3 linked regions of the Ovis aries genome follow. The protein of the gene in region 3 interacts with the protein of the main gene of each other region in a pairwise test. Links are inferred from orthologs where the notes say so. Each region holds a gene or a part of one and is shown on either strand. Other genes may lie near its edges. The genes, in order: SYF2, RPLP0 and CCNDBP1.

Evidence for each region.
Region 1: the proteins of CCNDBP1 (region 3) and SYF2 interact in binary tests that used the Homo sapiens proteins (3 or more experiments, as listed by UniProt). The link is inferred for Ovis aries from reciprocal best matches to the Homo sapiens genes CCNDBP1 and SYF2.
Region 2: the proteins of CCNDBP1 (region 3) and RPLP0 interact in binary tests that used the Homo sapiens proteins (3 or more experiments, as listed by UniProt). The link is inferred for Ovis aries from reciprocal best matches to the Homo sapiens genes CCNDBP1 and RPLP0.

The regions. Positions count from the first base shown.
Region 1 is NC_056055.1:241,468,034-241,473,915, reverse strand, and holds the end of SYF2 (pre-mRNA-splicing factor SYF2), read right to left. Parts: intron 5,079-5,882; coding exon 4,953-5,078; intron 4,547-4,952; coding exon 4,429-4,546; intron 4,115-4,428; coding exon 4,024-4,114; intron 2,756-4,023; coding exon 2,657-2,755; intron 1,871-2,656; coding exon 1,705-1,870; 3' UTR 1,557-1,704; downstream 1-1,556. UniProt on the Homo sapiens protein: Involved in pre-mRNA splicing as component of the spliceosome.
Region 2 is NC_056070.1:62,696,330-62,703,014, reverse strand, and holds the start of RPLP0 (large ribosomal subunit protein uL10), read left to right. Parts: upstream 1-2,988; 5' UTR 2,989-3,014; intron 3,015-3,277; 5' UTR 3,278-3,325; coding exon 3,326-3,379; intron 3,380-4,338; coding exon 4,339-4,514; intron 4,515-4,612; coding exon 4,613-4,700; intron 4,701-4,834; coding exon 4,835-4,981; intron 4,982-5,088; coding exon 5,089-5,274; intron 5,275-6,119; coding exon 6,120-6,260; intron 6,261-6,685.
Region 3 is NC_056060.1:36,637,477-36,644,161, forward strand, and holds the start of CCNDBP1 (cyclin-D1-binding protein 1), read left to right. Parts: upstream 1-3,046; 5' UTR 3,047-3,095; coding exon 3,096-3,204; intron 3,205-3,377; coding exon 3,378-3,437; intron 3,438-3,722; coding exon 3,723-3,802; intron 3,803-5,560; coding exon 5,561-5,642; intron 5,643-6,630; coding exon 6,631-6,685. Other genes in the region: TMEM62 (transmembrane protein 62), read left to right, coding at 2,049-2,375. UniProt on the Homo sapiens protein: May negatively regulate cell cycle progression. May act at least in part via inhibition of the cyclin-D1/CDK4 complex, thereby preventing phosphorylation of RB1 and blocking E2F-dependent transcription.

The sequences.
Region 1 (5,882 bases), on a different chromosome or scaffold from region 3:
TGAGATGGCTGGATGGCATCACGGACTCGATGGACATGAGTCTGAGGGAATTCCGGGAGTTGGTGATAGGGAGGCCTGGCATGCTGCAATTCATGGGGTTGCAAAGTCAGACACAACTGAGCAACTGAATTGAATAACCTATACTGGAAAATAATTTCAAAAAAATGTGTAAAACTCAATCATCTTGCTCTGCATCTGAAACATTATGTCAACTATACTTCAATAAAAAACGTACTTATTAAGATATATTTATTTTCAGAGGTAGCATCCAAGCTGTGGTCAGACCTAACTGCACGTAGATTAAATGCTAGAAGATAAAATAAGAGCAGACATGGAAAGTACTACATAAATTTTAAAAGGGAATAATCATCAGTGGTTATTAATTATAAATACTAAAGCTGAAGTTTTTGTGAAATTTTCTTGAGTTTCAGGTTTTTAATTTGGAATGTCCTAATTAGATACTTAGCATTTTTATCAACACATTGAAAAAATTATACCAATCTTTTCACTCTTTAGTTTTATTAAAATAGGACTATTATTGTGATAATAGCATTGTAGTCTTATCTTTCAGATACATAGTGAAATATTTATAGATAAAATTATACATTTAGTATTTGCTTCAAAATAACATGAGCTATAGAAAGTGGATAGAAATGAAGATGAAACAAATATTGGCATAAGTTGATAATTATTAAAGACAGGCACTGATTATAGGACTCATTGGATTATTTTGACCATGTTTGCAATGGAAGCACGTGTGTGTATATTTGCGTAAATATAAATGTATAAATACAAATATTCATTTTATTTATTGGCTGTGCTGAGTCTTTGCTGAGGCGTGTGGGTCTCTCGAGCTGCAGGGCATGGGCTTAGCTGCCCCATGGCATGTAGATCTTGGAAAAGGAAATGGCAACCCATTCCAGTGTTTTCACCTGGAAAATCCCATGGACATAGGAGACTCGCAGGCTACAGTCCATAGGGTCTGAGTCGGACATGACTGAAGCAATTGAGAATGTGGGATCTTAGTTCCCCAAGAAGGGATTAAACCCAGGAAGGTGGACTCTCAACCACTGGACCACCAGGGAAGTCCCCATATACCTGTTTTAAACGATACAGTGCTTGGTAGAGATTCTCTTCCACAGGATAGCGCCTTTTCAAAAGGGAACTACACCTGCTCACTGTTTACGGGAGGACAATTCTACTTCCTGAACTTGGTCCTAAGCAGCCCTCTATGGAGACAGCCTGCTCCTGCCCTCCAGTAGCCACTGTCATCTCATCACCATCCTTAGCTATGGAGTCCACAACCCCACATGGTTCCCGAGTCCAGTTCTAGATTTTATCAAATTCACTGAAATACTCAAAGTAACAAGGACTGCATTTACATACGCTACCAGCATTCCTTAAACCCAAAATGCTTCAAAGATTCAAGTCATACACATTTAAAATACATAGAAAAATAACAGAATTTATACAAAGTCGATTTTTACAAAACAAGTACATTACAAGAAATATATCTTATATCCAAGCACAAAAAATGTGGAAATATATATGAAGTATACATTTAAGAAAAAACATTTATTTTTAAATGCTGGGTGGGAGGGCACAAACAGCGTTCTAGTTTACAGTACAACTCTGAAGAGAACTTCAATTTGCTAGCAGAAATTTTCACTCTATTCTCAAGCTTCCAAACAGTTCCTGATGGGATTAGACGGCTGTTCCTCTCTCCAAATTCTGCTTAATTTCAGCTGTATATTTCCCATAGAATCTTTCTGCCTTCTTGTTGAATTTAGCATTCCTTTCATTAATGTAGTCAATATCTGCATCATCATTATAAGGGCGTCTCCGGCTATATTTGTCTCGTTTTTCAATTCTGGGAGAAGAAGAAAAATTTCAAAACTGCTTTCCTTTTTAGTATTAATAAAACATGTCAAAAAAAAAAATCAGTACACTTAAACTAGCACACTTTGGGGTGGGGGGAGCCCAGTTTTCATCAAGATGAAGTTGAAACTGCCAATTAACAGCATATCCCTGGGTATGAACCATGAAATTCAGTAAATACAAACAAATCTTCAGAATGCTTCTAAAAGAACAATGATACACTGCCAGGAACCGGATACATGAAGTAAAGGAAATGACTACAACAGTAATTATATTAATTATAATAAATATAATTATTATATTAATAGCCACAGCTAATATGAACAGAGTATACAGTATATACTAGACACTAATCTTAATACTGAAGTGTATGAGCTCCTATAAACTAAATTCATTTCGCTCTGCCTGATCAATATCAGGAAGAACGACCCTATCAGTATTAGGAAGCACAAATATACTTAGGTAAGTTTACTAGAACACTTATACTTCTTTAAATCAAAGAGTGCCATGGTTGTTAAAGTAGAAGTAAGAATAAGTGCTTTAAAGAGAATAATTTTATTTCTAATTTTCAATTATAATAACTCAATGCCATCAATATTTTACATCTTCATTCCAAAGCAAATGGATTCAATTCATACTTGCTCTCTGTCCCCAAAACCACTAGAGATGCAAGGTCAGAAGTGAGCGAGTAGAACATCTATCTTAATTCATTCTAGGCACGTTATGTCCATTCTGTCACGCAACATTTAATGAAATGGCTGCTGTATGGTGTACTCACTGTTTTTCGAGGTCTAGGACCATCCTGTCAATTTCCTCTGTGGAAGGCACATGTGTCCCATGAAGAAGACTGTTGGACGTTGGGAAAAACTCTTCTCCACTGAAAAGACAGCAACATGGACTTGGAGTAACACTGCAAGTGCTCCATATTTTCAAACGAAACTACCATTCATGAAGAGAGATAAAATACATAAATGTCTTTACTGTGGGATCCTAGCTCTTCTTTTTTTAAAAAACAAGAGAAAAGAGAATACAGAATTGTAAAGGATGAAAGTTAAGAAATCACCTAGTTCAACACCTTCATTCTACAGACGAAAGAGCCAAGGGTCAGAGGTTAAAGACTTGCTTCCAGCCTCAGGTTCTCTTTCCACTATAGCAGCCCAGCAAATTACAGCCTCTTGTTTATAGAAATAGTTTTACTGGGACACAGCCCACCCATCTATCTATGACTACTCTGCTGCTGCTGCTAAGTCGCTTCAGTCGTGTCCAACTCTGTGCGACCCCATAGACGGTAGCCACCAGGCTCCGCCATCCCTGGGATTCTCCAGGCAAGAACACTGGAGAGGGCTGCCATTTCCTTCTCCAATGCCTACTCTATGGGTGCTTTAACATCACAAGGGCAGAGTGGAGTAGTTGTGACAGAGCCCAGATAGCCTATAAGCCTAAAATATTCACTCTCTGGTCCTTTACAGCAGTTCACCTATCCTGGCACTAAAGCATTCTATGTCCCAAAATATGAGTAACTACGATGATCTCTCAACACCCAGCTGCAGAATGCCCAGCTAGAAAGATAATCATGTGGTCAGCTTAACTGCTGTGGACGAGCAGTAAGTAAACAGCATCAAGACCTGAAACTATCCTTATACAGTTGTTGAGCATTTCTCTGGTGTTCCAGCGGTTAAAAATCTACCTGCCAAAACAGGGGACACAGGTGTGATCCCTGGTCCAGGGAGAGTCCACATGCCACGGAGCAACTAACCCCGTGCCCCGTAACTACTGAAGCGCAGATGCTCTAGGGCCCATGTGCTGCAACTACTAAGCCTGAGTATTGCAGCTAATGAAGCCTGTGCGCCTAGAGCCCGTGATCCACAAGGGAAGCCACCACAGTGAGAAGCCCACACACTGCAATGCAAAGGAGCTTCAGTGGAGAGGAGCTCCCACTTGCTGTAGCCAGAGAAAGCCCACACACAACAAAGACCCCGCACAGCCAAAACACAGCAACAACAAAAAACCCCCAGCTACTGATAATCCATAGCTAAGCACTACAGTGTGTGTTTATGTATATATGTTTATGTGTACACATGAGTTTTAATACATCAGTATCACTTCAGGATGAAAACAGGACTTGCATTAATCCTGTCAACTTACTGCTTTTCTCTCAGTCTCTCATATGTTTCCATGTCTGGTTTGATCTGTTTGGTCAGCCGATGATACTGGCGAAGCTGGGCAGCAGCATAATCTAAAAATAAAATGAAAATTGGAAATGATATATTACTTTATTTGATCATTACTATTCAGAGAAGAATCAAAATTATTAGCATAGCCTGTATCCTGAAGATCCGGACCAAACAGGCTTTAATTTTAGCACTGAATAAAGGAACCCAGCTGATTCAAGTAGAGCCTTTTTCACTTTTGCCATATATGATATTTTGTATTTTTCTTAGGAGTATAAGTATTACAGAATATTCCACGAAGGGGCATATTCTTTCTTAAAACCAGGAACACTGAAGGCATGCTTATCTCAGAGGCCTATTCAATAAAGTTCAGTCTTACCTGAAAATCCCAGGTCGGGGTTTTTCCTCCTCTTTTTTCTCTCCCATCTTTCTGCATCTTCTGCACTGATTTCTAGCAACTTCACTTTCTCATAGTCTTCCCCTCTCGCTGCACATTCCTAAAATGAAGCAGAAAAAAGCTAATGCTTGCCCTTATGATACAAGCAATTATTTGAACTATTTTAAGTGAATATAAAGCAATACATTTAAAATAACCATTACTATGTGAAGGAGAAATTTGGTTATCTGCTGTTGTATAATAAGAAGTGAGTACATCAATCTAAAAAATAATACTCAACATTTATCCAGTGTCAGACCCTCTGTTAAATGTTCCAAACGCACTGACTCATTTAATTCATAATTAACTCAAGTAATTATTACAGATCTCATTTTACAGATGAGAAAACACAATCACAGGGAGATTAAATTATTTGCCCAAAGTGTTGCAGCTGATAAAGAGCTTTTTTTTACTATCTCAATACAACAGAACAGACCACTTATGAAGACAGCAGAGCAGTTCCTAACCTTTTTCTTTTCTTCTTCCTGTAGTTCCCATTCCAAACGAGCTTTTTTGGCTTCCCAATTCGCAGGTAACTTAAGTCTTTTATCTTCTTCAACAACTTCCTGGTGATTTAATTTACGAGCTTCATTCTAAAACCATAAACACAAAAAGGTTGCTGGCTGAAACACAAAAATAAATCCAAACAAATTTTTCCACTTTAAGGAAGGCAGAGAACCATCAAAGGATTTTAAGCAAGGTCTTACATTTGTATACAGTCAAGAAATGTGTTGAGCTGTACTGGTGTGCTATTCCAGATGTCTGGGGGTTATAATGTCTCACATTATGAAAAAAATATTCTACTTTCAATTCCCTTTTAATCCTGACTAATTCAAGGAAGAAGCCTCAATTTGAGGCTTGTGCTTTACTACCTATCATAGTATCTCTAACCTTTCCCAAGTACTCCTGCTCTTTAGATATTTTAGCAGTTTACATTATGGCAAATGAAAGGCACTCTCCATTTAAATTACTGTATGAAGAGTCTGTTTTAAATTAAATTTAACTGCATAAACCAAAACAAGTAGACTATCTCAGGGACAACTTAAAGTTAGATGTTTGTTGGGTCACAGGCTGGAGGCAGTTAGTCCAGGAGGCTGTGTCTCTTAGTATCCAACCCCATGTTCTTTACACCAAGTAAATATGTAAGTGTGTTTGATTCTAGATCAAATTCTTCTGGGTAAAGAAACGGACTTCTCTCAACCTGTCATTCCTGCCATCCAGACACCAAGAACACACGTGTGGTCAAAGCTGAATGCGCCACACTGAAGGAAACAGCAAACTACTGGGAACTGGAGACATTTCAGTGAAAAGGTGTTAGGAGGAGCTACTTATAGCATTTGAGTCTGTATCAGGCGACTGCAGGAAGCTCTGGCTTAGGCAGGGTCAGAAAGTCAGGG
Region 2 (6,685 bases), on a different chromosome or scaffold from region 3:
TTTGATTTTTAATTTTTTTTCCTCTGTAAACTTATAACCTGGCTTTTTCCCATTTTAATTCCTGTGATTTATGCCAATAAAGTTTGCCATTATTTTCACCAGTGCTAGTGCCATTTCTTTGTGGTCCGAGATGAACAGCTCAGCCCCAGAAGAGAGACCAAACCCTCCCCAGGCTCATAAGCACCACAGTTTGAGGGTCAGTCACTGCAGTTCTCTTACCTGAGGCCAAAGCCCTCATGGGGCACTTGTGGGCCTCCTGGCTTTCTTACCCACTGCAATTTGCCATGGGTTGCCTCCCATGGGCGTGGGGGTGTGGCCTTCCACTCACGGATGGGAAGGAGGTTCAGAGAGAGCCGATATCCTGTGAACGAGCACAGAGACAGGCTGTGAACCCAGGGCTTGTCTCTGTTCTTATGTTGACCAGACACACCACCACTGCCCCCTAGTTCTGGCACGATACCTTGGGTGTAGAACCTTCCTTGTTGAGAGTTGGACTATAAAGAAAGCTGAGCACTGAAGAATTGATGCTGTTGAACTGTGGTGTTGGAGAAGACTCTTGAGAGTCCCTTGGACTGCAAGGAGATCCAACCTGTCCATCCTAAAGGAAATCAGTCCTGAATATTCATTGGAAGGATTGATGCTGAAGCTGAAACTCCAATACTTTGGCCACCTGATGCAAAGAACTGACTCATTTGAAAAGACCCTGATGCTGGGAAAGATTGAGGGCAGGAGGAGAAGGGGACGACAGAGGATGAGATGGTTGGATGGCATCATCGACGCAATGGACATGAGTTTGAGTAAACTCTGGGAGTTGGTGATGGACAGGGAGGCCTGGCGTGCTGCAGTCCATGGGGTCGCAGAGAGTCGGACACGACTGAGCGACTGAACTGCACTGACTTAATAGTCGATGATGGGTCTCGACTGCCCCCTGGTGGTCATATCTGTATTTGCATGCATGCTTCCTCGGCGTTGTCAGAGCCGTAACTCCAGTCCTGGGCCTTTGCGAGCTTCCGGGACAGTTTTGCAGCTTTGCAGTCTCCCTGTTGTTTGGAATGGTTCTCCAAAAGCCGCATGTCGATTTCAAGTCTGAACCCTGACCATTCCGTATTGAGCTCAGAAGTGAAAATTACCTTCAACCCTCACCCAAAAATCATATTTCCAGCTCATGTTGGGCTTACGTGAATGAACAGGTCCACTTCATTGTAACTGGCTCACTCAACTGTACTTTATGTTTTCCCATGTCAATAAATAGAGATGGGCATTTTTTAATGCCTTCACGGTATTCCATTATATTGATGTACTACAGTTAGAGACAATATCATCAGAGGCAGGATGTCCTTGCGGAGTTGATATGTCAGTATGTACATCCTTGCAAAAGTGCATTTGAAGGAAGACAGCCTTAGGGTTTGGAAGGGACTGTATAGCATAGTGAGACTCATGGGCTTTGAACTTGCTTTTAGGTTTTGGTTCTGAAGCCATCACTTACTAGCTGAGGTACTTGGGTGAATTACTTAACCTCTGCGAATTTTCTTACCAGTAAAATGGTACTAATACTGTATCTCCTTGGGGGTTTGTTGCACAGATGAACAGCAGTAATGTGCATAAAGTACTTAGTACAATGCTGAGCATGCAGTAATACCCTGTCACTAAAAAGAGATCTTAGCAGTAATGGACTCCAGCAGTTGTCTATACAGGCTCATCATCAGGAGGCTTGAAAACAAAATACCAGGGTTTCTAACTTGGTCAAGTTAAAAGGATGGAGTTGGGGAGAACCACCCTCCCCTTCCCACCCTAGGCTCTAAGCTTATTCATTAAAAACATATTTAATGATATAGCACAATTGTTCAAATAAATGTTGAATGAAAGTGTAATAAAATATGTTGACATTAAGTGATTTCCTCCTACATTCCAGGGACTGTGTTAACACATAACTCACGTAATCCTCATGGGGTGTGAATACTACTATCCTCATTTTACAGACAGGAAAAGAGAGGGTCAGCAAGGTGAAATCACTTCCTAAGATGACCAACCTAGCAAGTGACAGAATAAGGATATGAATTCAGGTTATCTGACTGCAAACTCTACATCCATTCATTCAACAAATGTTTATTATATGCCCATAGGTGCCAGGCTCACGGCAGAGAGAGAGACAAATTATTTTAGTGATTTAGTGTGTTACTAGGTGGAAGTGCTACCAAAAAGTTAAACCGGAGGAAGAGGGAAGTTGGAGTGGTTTTGGGGGTAATCTTGAATAGGGCGATGGGGGTAGGCCTCCAGCAGGTGATCATTGAGCCAAGACGCAACGGAGGTGTGGATATGGGCAGGAAGCCTTCTAGGAAGAGGGAATAGACAGTGCATGAGCCCTGAAATGGGAGCGTCACCCAGCTGGGAGGAAATGAGTCAGTAGGCAAATCGGAGATGAGATGATGGGGTGGAGGTGGGGACCAGATCATGTAGAGCCTTGTAGGTAGCCTCATTTACGTTTTAGGTTTTTTTCTGGGAGGGAAATGGGGAGACTCGAAAGTATTGCGAGCAGATGAGGAAGTGATCCGACTTAGGTTTAAAGGATCCCTTTGTTTCGATAGGGGGAAGAACAAACTGTAGAGGAGACGAGAGACCATCCTGTTTCTAAAGCATGAGAGTTCTTTCTCAACGTCATACTCTGTAGTTGCGACTTGGCCTGGTGACCAAAGGAAACGTGAACTCAGCTTGCAAACACTAACTCTACCTGGCGGCGCCTCCCACCCGGCAGAGGGCAGCAGCTCTGAGAAAGCGCCTCCAGCACCCAGCAGTGTCCTCCTTAACGACCTCGTTTAAAAGCAGCTTCCTGTTGGTTGGAGTGGCAGGGATGCTACCCAATGGCTGCCTGCATCTATCCGATTTCTTCAGAATGGCGTTGGCACCAGCCAATAGGCGGGGGGCTCTGCCTGTGGCTTCTGATTGGCTGCTTCGCTCATCTATAAAAGATGCCCGCCGGCGCGCGGCCCTCCTCTCGCCAGGCGTCCTCGTGTGAGGTTCGTCCGTCTCGCTGCGTTCGCACCGGCAACTGTGGCGGGAAGAATGGGGGTCTTTGGGGGTTCTTTTGGAGGCTCTTGGGGACCGCGGGGTCCGGCCTCTTTGGTTTGGGGGTGCGGCGGCGGCCGCCGCGACAGGTGCAGCCCTGGCTCGGGGCGGCGGGCGCCCGCGCGTGGCCTACTCCGCGTGTACCTTGGGCTTGGAGCCCGCCGTGCTGTGGGGACGCGTGTCGGGGTGGCTTGAGCTCCTTTTCTCTCCTCAGTGACATCGTCTTTAAACCCTGCGTGGCAATCCCTGACGCACCGCCGTGATGCCCAGGGAAGACAGGGCGACCTGGAAGTCCAACTACTTCCTTAAGATCATCGTAAGTTTGGGGCAGGCCCCGCCGCCCACCGTGCTGCCCGGGCCCGGGCACTGGTGGGGACGGTCAGCTGCCGTGTGCTGAGCGCCTGCTTGCTAGCTGCTATATTAGGTCATTTTAGGCACATTTCATTTAATTTTTACAATTTCCCGAGATCCATGCCCTTCCCCCTCCCAGTGTTGCAGATGAACAGACTCAGGCAGGTGAAGTGGCTCTTAAGGTAAAGAACATTCAAGCCCAAGTCTGTCTAGGTTCAAGTAGCACTCGTTCTAATTTTCTTGTCCTGTCTGCATCTTTGAGAAAGTCTGAGGCTATGAGTGACTCATTATAATGGGGCAAGTTGTTGCCTATTTAGAGCCTGTCAGTCAAGAAACTATGTGAGTTCTTTAATTTAGATGGCCTTGAGTTGGGTCTTGCCTGGCCAGAAATGCTAATCACGCTGCTCTTCAAGCCTTAGGATGCGTTGTGGAGTTTAGTTTTTTGCGTTCTTCCTCATTTATCATGCAGGTTTTCAGTTTAACAGAAAACTTTGTAAAATGATTATATACACACAACCTAGGTCCTACAAGTTACTATTTTGACATACTTCCTTTATGTTATATTTTGATTGCTGTAAATCTGACTTTACCTGGACCAGTATTTTTTTTTTTTTTGGTTAAGGCAGTCATTTAGCGAATCAAACATGCCTCGTAATTGGGGAAAGAGCAAAAGTTATAATTACAAGTATTTGTTTAATTTACTGTAGAAACAGTTACTGTTTATACTCAACACGCAAATCTTTGACAAAACTGGTGTTAACTCAGGTGGCCTATAGGAGGAGGCACTGTCCCAATCTCTGTCATTTCAAAAGCTTAGAGGAAAGGGAGTGAGATGGAAGCTGGTGATTGCGGGATTTGGTTTCTCTTAACCGTTTCCCTCTTTCCTCCTGTGAAACACGGCTTGTTTTCGGCTTGTTTCTGTAGCAACTTCTGGATGATTATCCAAAATGCTTCATTGTGGGAGCAGACAATGTGGGCTCCAAGCAGATGCAGCAGATCCGCATGTCGCTGCGCGGGAAGGCTGTGGTGCTGATGGGCAAGAACACGATGATGCGCAAGGCCATCCGAGGGCATCTGGAAAACAACCCGGCTCTGGAGAAGTTGGTGTCTTTATCCTCCCTTCTCAGTGCCCTCCTCCCTCTTCCTGGAGAGGAACGGAGCTACAAAGTGACCTTCTCCTGTAAACTTCTCTTTGCAGACTGTTGCCTCACATCCGGGGAAATGTGGGCTTCGTGTTCACCAAGGAGGACCTCACTGAGATCAGGGACATGCTGCTGGCCAATAAGGTAAGGGAGAATCAGGTTGACTGGAGAGACCTTATCATTAGTTTGGTTCCTAAAAAGCAATAAAACTGACCGATCTCAGGTTGTGTCTGGAGAGAAGACATCTCACTGTTCACTTTTTTCCCACATTTGCTCAGGTGCCGGCTGCCGCCCGTGCTGGTGCCATAGCGCCGTGCGAAGTCACTGTGCCAGCCCAGAACACTGGTCTGGGGCCCGAGAAGACATCCTTCTTCCAGGCTTTAGGCATCACCACTAAGATCTCCAGGGGCACAATTGAAATCCTGGTGAGTGGACCTGGCTTGCCAGTACTAGCTGCGCCAGCGGTGGGGGCTCGGTGGCCTCGGACCTGCCGGACGTCCAGGGGTTAACTGCCAACTTCCTTGCTCTTCAGAGCGATGTGCAGCTGATTAAGACCGGAGACAAGGTGGGCGCCAGCGAAGCCACGCTGCTGAACATGCTGAACATCTCCCCCTTCTCCTTCGGGCTGGTCATCCAGCAGGTGTTTGACAATGGCAGCATCTACAACCCCGAAGTGCTTGACATCACAGAGGAAACTCTGCATTCCCGCTTCCTGGAGGTACCCGAGGGCCCATTCCAGGCCCTTCCTTTCTCATTAGTAGTTGAGAGCGCATCTGGCTTCAGCTGCATCTTGGCAATGCAGCTGACTAGCAGGTTAATAACCAGGAATAGTTGTTCAGTCTGTATCTCAGTTTCCTCATCCTTAGAACAGCAATGACAATTTAGGATTGTTGAAGGAGCTAATGAATTAATGAGTGTAAGGCCTTGAAACAGTGCTGGGTACACAGTAAGGGCTGTCATTTTAGGACCTGCAAAAAGATGTGAGATTTTGAGTGTCAGTGAGTCAAAAGAGGGATAACGAAAATGAGGTAATTAATACACAAGTGTTGCCAAGTACCCTACTATCTTGGGAGAATGGACTCTCAGTCCATCCTTCATCTTGTTTAGTTTTTGCCACTAATACCTCCCCTTAACAAAGTGATGCGATATATAATTCTTGTTTTTTTGACAGATAGACAATTGTAATTACATATACTCTTAACTCTGGTTACTTTTGGAAATCTCCGTAGTGGATGAAATTCACACCTGGAACTGACGTTTTTCTCAGAATGCCATGAGTATATGATTTTACAAAACGGTGGCTTTTGAAGTAAATACCATCGTTATGGTATAGGGAACACCCTTGTGGAGAATAAGGGCAAAAAGCATTTGTAAATTAAACTGGGTCTGAATTTCACTGCCAGAAGCATCTGGTGTGAGGTGAAGCGTCCTGTGTGAGACTGAGGTACTGAGCAAATCGCATGTGCTGTTGAGCTCCGCTTCACTGTCTTTTAAGACACCACACCTGAGACCTAAAGGAATGTCACGCCTGAGACTGAAAGGACTGTTTCCTCCCTTCCACAGGGTGTCCGCAATGTTGCCAGTGTGTGCCTGCAGATTGGTTACCCGACTGTTGCATCTGTACCCCATTCTATCATCAATGGGTACAAGCGTGTCCTGGCTTTGTCTGTGGAGACTGATTACACCTTCCCACTTGCTGAAAAGGTACAAAGAACCCACTAGGATACCAAAATCCATGAGTGCTCAAGTCTGTCATAAAATGGTGTTAGTTAGGTTATATCATTTCTAGGTTACTTAGGATACCTAATCTAGTTTGAATGTTACGTAAATGGTTATAAATACGATGTAACTTGAGTGTAAATAATTGCTACAATATAGCAAATTCAAGTTTTGCATTTTGGACATTCCCCCCCCACCCTTTTTTTTGAGTTTTGATCCACAGTTGGTTCGGTCTTTTAAGTGTGAAACCTTTGGCTACAGAGCGCCAATTGTCTACTTGAAGTTGGGAGGCAGAGGAGATGTGTTCTCGATTTTAGAAATTATATGAGATTTAAAGCAGGGATAGTTTAATGGGTAAGAGCCGGGCCTGAGCTCACCAGGCTTATACCCAAGCTGTCCTGCCTGGTTAC
Region 3 (6,685 bases):
CCCTCAGTCATGTCTGACTCTTTGCAACCCCATGGACTGCAGCACGCCAGGGTTCCCTATCCATCGCTAATCCCTGGAGCTTGCTTAGAGTCATGTACATCCAGTTGGTGATGCCATCCAACCATCTCATCCTCTATTGTCCCTTTCTCCTCCTGCCTTCAATGTTTCCCAGCATCAGGGTCTTTTCCAGTGAGTCAGTTCTTTGCCATCAGGTGGCCAAAGTGTTGGAGCTTCAGCTTTCACATCAGTCCTTCCAATGAATATTCAGGACTGATTTCTTTTAGGATTGACTGGTTTGATCTCCTTGCAGTCCAAGGGACTCTCAAGAGTCTTCTCCAACACCACAGTTCACAAGCATCAATTCTTTGGTGCTCAGCTTTCTTTATGGTCCAACTCTAACATACATATACATGACTACTGGAAAAACCATAGCTTTGAGAGGAGCATCCTTATTCCAAATAAGATCTGAGCTTTACCAAAAGGTGGGTTTACAGTCATATTTTAATAAATAGTATACCAAGAATTGATTTTATGTATCATCTAGGTCCATAGCTCATAAATCTATTATATTTCTGACCTAGACTTCTTCTCTGCACCTCAGGTGCCTGTATATACAACTAGTATTTCGCATCTTCCTTAGATATCTCATAGGAATCTTGTATGTCTCTAACAGGACCTTTCATTTGTATCCCCAAACCTGTTTCTCCCAAGTTCTTCGCAGTTTCAATAAATTATCTAGGATGCATCTTAAGTTCTTCCCCTTCCCTCACACTTTTATCTAATTCATCAGCAAGTAGCAATGTACATGTCTTTTCTCTGTCACTGTTACCACCATTCTTACCTAATCATGTTTCTTTATTAAAAAAAATTATTTGGCTGTGTCAGGTCTTAATTGCAGCATGCAGGATCTTCGTTGCATCATGAGGGATCTTTCCTTGCAGTACTTGGGCTCTCTGGTTGTGGTGCCTGGGCTCTGGAGCACATGCACTCAGTAGTTGCAGAGCATGGGCTTAGTTGCTTCACGGCATATGGGATCTTATTTCCCCAACTGGGGATCAAACCCACATCCCCTGCATTGCATGCTGGATTCTTACAGTGAACCAGGGAAGTCCCCAATAATTATTTCTTGCCTGGGCTACTGCAGTAACCCCCTAACTGGTTTCCTGTTGTTGCTCTTGTCTCCCTAATGTCAGCTTAAAACTCTTAAAGCAGATCAGTGACATGATCTGGGTCCTGCTGACTGTCCCAAATTCTACCTACCTTATCATGTTCCAGGCTAACAGGAGAGTAACGGGAGATGGGCCCATCTCTGGGCTTTTCATTTGTTCTTCTGCCTGGAATGCTCTTCCACTGACTCATTTCTGTCCTTCAGACCTCAGAGAGCCCATCTCCCGTTGCCCTGTAACCAGTTATTTTCTTCATTGAATTTATCACCATCTGTAATTATCTTCCCCCTCCTCTTTTTTGGGGAGTGGGTTTCCTCTTTTCTGTACTAGAATGTAAGCTGTCTGAAGCATCTTTTCTGACTTGTTCATCAGTGTGTCCCTTGCCTACAGCCTTGCACAGTGCCTGTCACATAATGAGTGCTCAGTAATTATTTGGTGAATGAAAATCCATATTGTAGTTATGGTTGAATTATAAATCTTAAATCTTCTAGTTTGTATTCTAGTATTCATTATGTTACTTCAATTACAAATGCAAAGTAAAGAAGAAATATTGATATCCAAGTTCCCCCCTCACGCTACCCCCCCAAAAAAAGTACTGTATATATATGTATGTGTGTGTGTGTTTGTACATAGACATATGTATTCATTTCTACCTTAAACATTTGAGAGCTTCAACAGAAATGAAATGACACTTGCCTTTAAGATGAACAAAAGGATGCAGGCAAATAAACAACTAAGGACACAAGTGTGATTAAAGTATAAAGTATCAGTTAACCCCCAAGAGAGCAAGCAACATATTTTTAGGAGCCACCAATAATATGTTAGTGAGACCTGACCCCACCAGGGCTTAATAAGCTAATGGTTCTGTTCTGTTCTTTCCAGCTGGTGTTTTTTAACATCCCCTTGATGGGTTACCTGTGTTGGATTTTGCTGCAGCGGTGCTTTGGTCACAGCTTCAGGTCTCATCTCCATCAAGGAAAATACTTGAAAATTATACCTGTTCACCTACTTATGTTACTGCTGTACATCTGGCATATTTATTCCTGCTACTTTCTTCACGTGACATATGGCACTCTAGCTTTTTTATTCTCCCCTTTACGGACCTGGTTGACACTGGCGACACCTGTTCTCATTCGTTGTGTTTGGACAGTGAACTCTGCTAAGCTTGGAACCTTCATAGTGCAGTTAAAAAGCCATTTGAGCTCCTGAAGTCTGTATCTCCTCATCCACCTCTGTAGCCCAGGCCTCTGCCTCAGCAGCAGGTAAAAGGCCAGTATTGATGGGCAAACATCAGGGAGCTGCTGTTCCTTGGACACCTGGGAGTTGGGGGGAATTACCTACTACTGATTCTTGCAGAATGGACTGCAGAAAACTATATAATGCCGTGATTCCTCCCTTCCTCAAGAAGGTAAAGGGTTGATTTACTTTTGTGAAGAGAAAGCTTTTATCTAGGAGATCCACAGGGCAGGGGCTGGTGGATAAGGGAGTATCTGAGGCCCACTCAGTGTGTTTTTTAGATACCTCATGTAAAGTACCTAGCACAGTGTCTGGAACTTGGCAGCCTGTAAGGAGGCCACTTTAGGGACAGGGAACGTGCAAACTTGGACCTGACCCTGACTACCCTTGTTTAGTTCCTAGTCCTTTTTTCGACAGGATTATGGGCTCTCTGCTTCCTCAGTCGGGGGTGTTTTCAACTAATCAAATACCAATAAATGAATAAGAAACAACTCGGTCTGGGTCTTGCCTGTGTCGCTAGGAGCGGGAGCGAGGCGGGGCTTTTGAGAGCGGAAGGGGTGTGGCTGGGCTTCCGAGGCGGGGCAGGTTGTTGCCGGAAGCGAAACCGTGGCCTGGAAGAGGAGCTGCGACAGCGGTGCGGCTCCGGAAGCTGTTGTGGGGGCTTGGTCCGCTGGCTCCAAACGCGGTACTGGGATGGAGAGCGCAGCTGTATCTGCAGCCCCAGACCCCACCCTGGATCCGCCTCTGGAACAGCTTCGGCACCTAGCCGGGGAGCTGCGGCAGTTGCTTCCTGGAGTGCGGGGTGAGCTGACTTAGTGAGGCCGGGTGACCGCAGGGGCGGGCTTGGGTGGGAAGGAGCCAGGCCTTGGCGGCCGCGGCGCCGGGTCCGGGCAGAGGAGGTGGGTCCGGGAGGTCGTTCCGCTTACCTGTGCTCTTTCGTTTGTCGCCGTCCGGCGCACACCCCGCACCCACTAGTCGGCGAAGCCCAGGAAACCACCAAGGAGTTTGATCGGGAGGCCTTTTGGAGAAGACTCAGTGAGTGCCTCTCCTATTGGAGACTGCTGTCTCTCATCTCTTCCCTACTCCTTTCCTTCCTGCTTCCCCCCCGCCCCAGCCTCTCTGCGGGGATACTCCTTACCTATCCTTGGTATCTCCGAGGTTGAAATATAAAACACTGATTTTTGGAGGTGTTTTTGAGACGTCTCAGCGGGCATGGGTGGAGAGGGAACGCATTATCTTCAAGGTCCGTGCAGCCGTTGCAGCCTTTTCCTTTTGGCACTAACATATTGGCTCTTGCCGCCTGCTCTGTCACTCCCCCAGATGAGGCAGCTGTGACAGTGTCAAGGGAAGCCACGACTCTGACCGTAGCCTTCTCTCGACTTCCGCTGCCGTCTCCACAGGTGGGCTTCACTTTTCTAGGATTCTTGTGCTGCTCAGTATTCCTTAAGAAGCCTCTCATTTTCTTTCCACCTTTTACACTCAAATCTGGGGATTTAATTTCCTCATCTGTCGAGTAAGGTGAAGGTTCTCACTCCACAGGATTGTTCTGAAGATCAAATTGTCAAATGCAGTAGTTGTCATGGGGTAGATGGCTCTTCTAAATATTGGTTCATTCTGAGGTCCATCCTGGTTATTTCCTTTCTGGCATTTTAAAATATACTTTCTATTTGCTAAGTGTTTTCACATACATGATCCTTTTCTGACAGATGAACAGGCAGGCTCAGAGGCTCAGTTTAAGGTAGATAAGTAGTGGAGCTAGGACTTAAATTAGGTTCTATCTGATGTTTGAGCTCCACCTTTTCTATTATACTACATAATACTCTTTTGTACTGAATTATTTTTATGCTATTATATATATTATATATTATTATATTTATATATAATAATGTAGACAGTATAAGGTTCAAAAGATATCAAAGTTAAATGTGCTAAAAAGCTTATATCTCCTGTCTTTGGTTCCTTTTGTATCATTCCATATATATGCTATGCATATTCACACTTAAGTGCATATGGCTGCTGCTTTTTACACAAGTGATAATAGTTTCTGTTGAGAAATCAGCTGGTAACCTTATGGGAGTTCTCTTGTATGTTATTTGTCACTTTTCCCTTGTTGCTTTTAATATTTTATCTTTGTCTTTAATTTTTGTCAATTTGATTACCCTGTACATGCTCAGGACAGTGGTTTTTTCATTCGTAGATGAAAAATTAAAATATGGCTTTATATGAATTATATATATTTGAATCACAGTTGCTTTCTTAGGATCTCAGCACATTAATTCTGCCAAAGAATTTTTTTTTTTTTTTTGATTCCAGTCCTTACAACGTGGTATTTTTACAAAATTATATGTTTGGATGTTGAAACAATGTCACATTGGTGTAAAAGTTTCTGAGTACTCTCAATCTTTGTACCTATCCATCTCAGACTGGTGACAGATCATTTATGGACTGGCACCATCTGTAGACCACATTTTGCATAGCACTGGCTTGGAATTTAGCAGAGCAGTGAGGACAAGGAAGATAAGGGAAAGCCAGTGACTGCCTAGAAGGAAAATAGTCAGCATTGAGCATTGTAGAGTCCATGCTAATTTCCTTTAGGTATACTGAAATTCTGTTAGAGACAGAGGCAGAGAGATAGACAACTGGTTAATGGTCTAAGATAGAGCTGACAACTTTTCTGTCAAAGGCCAAATAGTAAACATTTTAGGCTTTGCAGTCCAGCTACTCCACTCTGCCTCTGTAGTGTGAATACTATTATAGACAATTTGTAAACGCATGAGTGTGGCTGTGTCCTAGAAACATTTTATTTGCAAAAACGGGCAGTGAGCCTGATTGGGCCCTTGGGCTCTAGTTTGCCAACTCCTGGTCTAAGATATGGTGAATACCTCAAAGCTGATCACAGATATCTTGGGATATAGAGTATCAGGGATGTTTTTCCTACAGTTTCTTCTTGTCTTACTGAGTTTCTGCTCAGTACTTGGTATCCAGCTAACTCCTCCCTGGTATGTGATGAGAACAGCACAGCCTGATGCATAATAGGACTTCAGAAAATGTTTGATGATGCTGTACAGATGTCTGCTCTTTTCCCCTGTAGATGGCTTGACCACATCAATCTAATCCATTTCTTTTTTTCTTTCTGAAATTGGCTTATCATCTCCTAGGAAACGCAGAGGTTCTGTGAACAAGTGCGTGCTGCCATCAAGGCAATTATTGCAGTGTACTATTTGTTTCCCAAGGATCAGGGTAAGCCACTCCATACACATAAGTGTTCAGTTTATGGGGTAGATCTTTGCTATTGTGACAGCTTATGTCCTGAGAATTTTACCTTTTCCTCAATTTGATCATGTAATGTAACTTTCTCCCATTAAGTGCAGTCAAAGGTAGTTATATAAGTGACCTCCATAAGTAAGCCTTTGTGCTAAAGTTCAGATACTGTGTTCTCATGTCCCCTGCCTTACTTGACTCTTAATATTTTTAATTCTCACTGGCTTCTCCGTCTCTAATGCATTATAATCACCACAGATACTGCTTGGTTATCAGTGCCATCCCCAGGCTTCTTCGCCTCATCACATGCTGTTTCTGAGCTCCCTTATAGGTTAAGTGGCCTCCAGCTCTGCCTGCATCTTCGTGTCTTGATTATTATCAGGTTACAATTAGAAATGAATACATGTCTCATGGATCTTCAGGGTTACTCATGTGGTTTAAACTTGAAGTGTTTTATCCACAAATGCCAGGAAATCACTGTTTTTAAAAATGTGTATTATTTTATTTATGTGGCTGTGCCAGGTCTTGGTTGCGGCAGGCGTGCTCTTCAGTCCTTGTTATGGCATGTAGGGTCTTTAGTTGCAGCATGTGAACTCTGAGTTGTGGCATGTAGGATCTAGTTCCCTGACCAGAGATTGAACCCTGGCCCCTGCATTGGCAGCGTAGAGTCTTAGCCACTGGACCACCAGGAAAGTCCCAAGAAACTACTTTTTAATGAATGAATATATGCTGTCATGGAACAGTTTTGTTTCAGATCTCTTTTGGAAAATACCACTAAGGAATGGTGGGAGGAGCAAGCAAATGACATGGGGATATACATAAGACCTGGGTTCTGTGTTGGCACTCTGGTTAAAGCATGTGGGTGCACATTACCTCAAATTCTGTAGGGCTTAGATTCTCAGGAAGACTTTCCAGACTTCTGGAAAGACAGACAGGCTGCTTAATTAGTCTTTGGGTCTGGCTATAGGCATCACCCTGCGAAAGCTGGTGCGGAGCGCCACTCTGGACATCGTGGATGACAT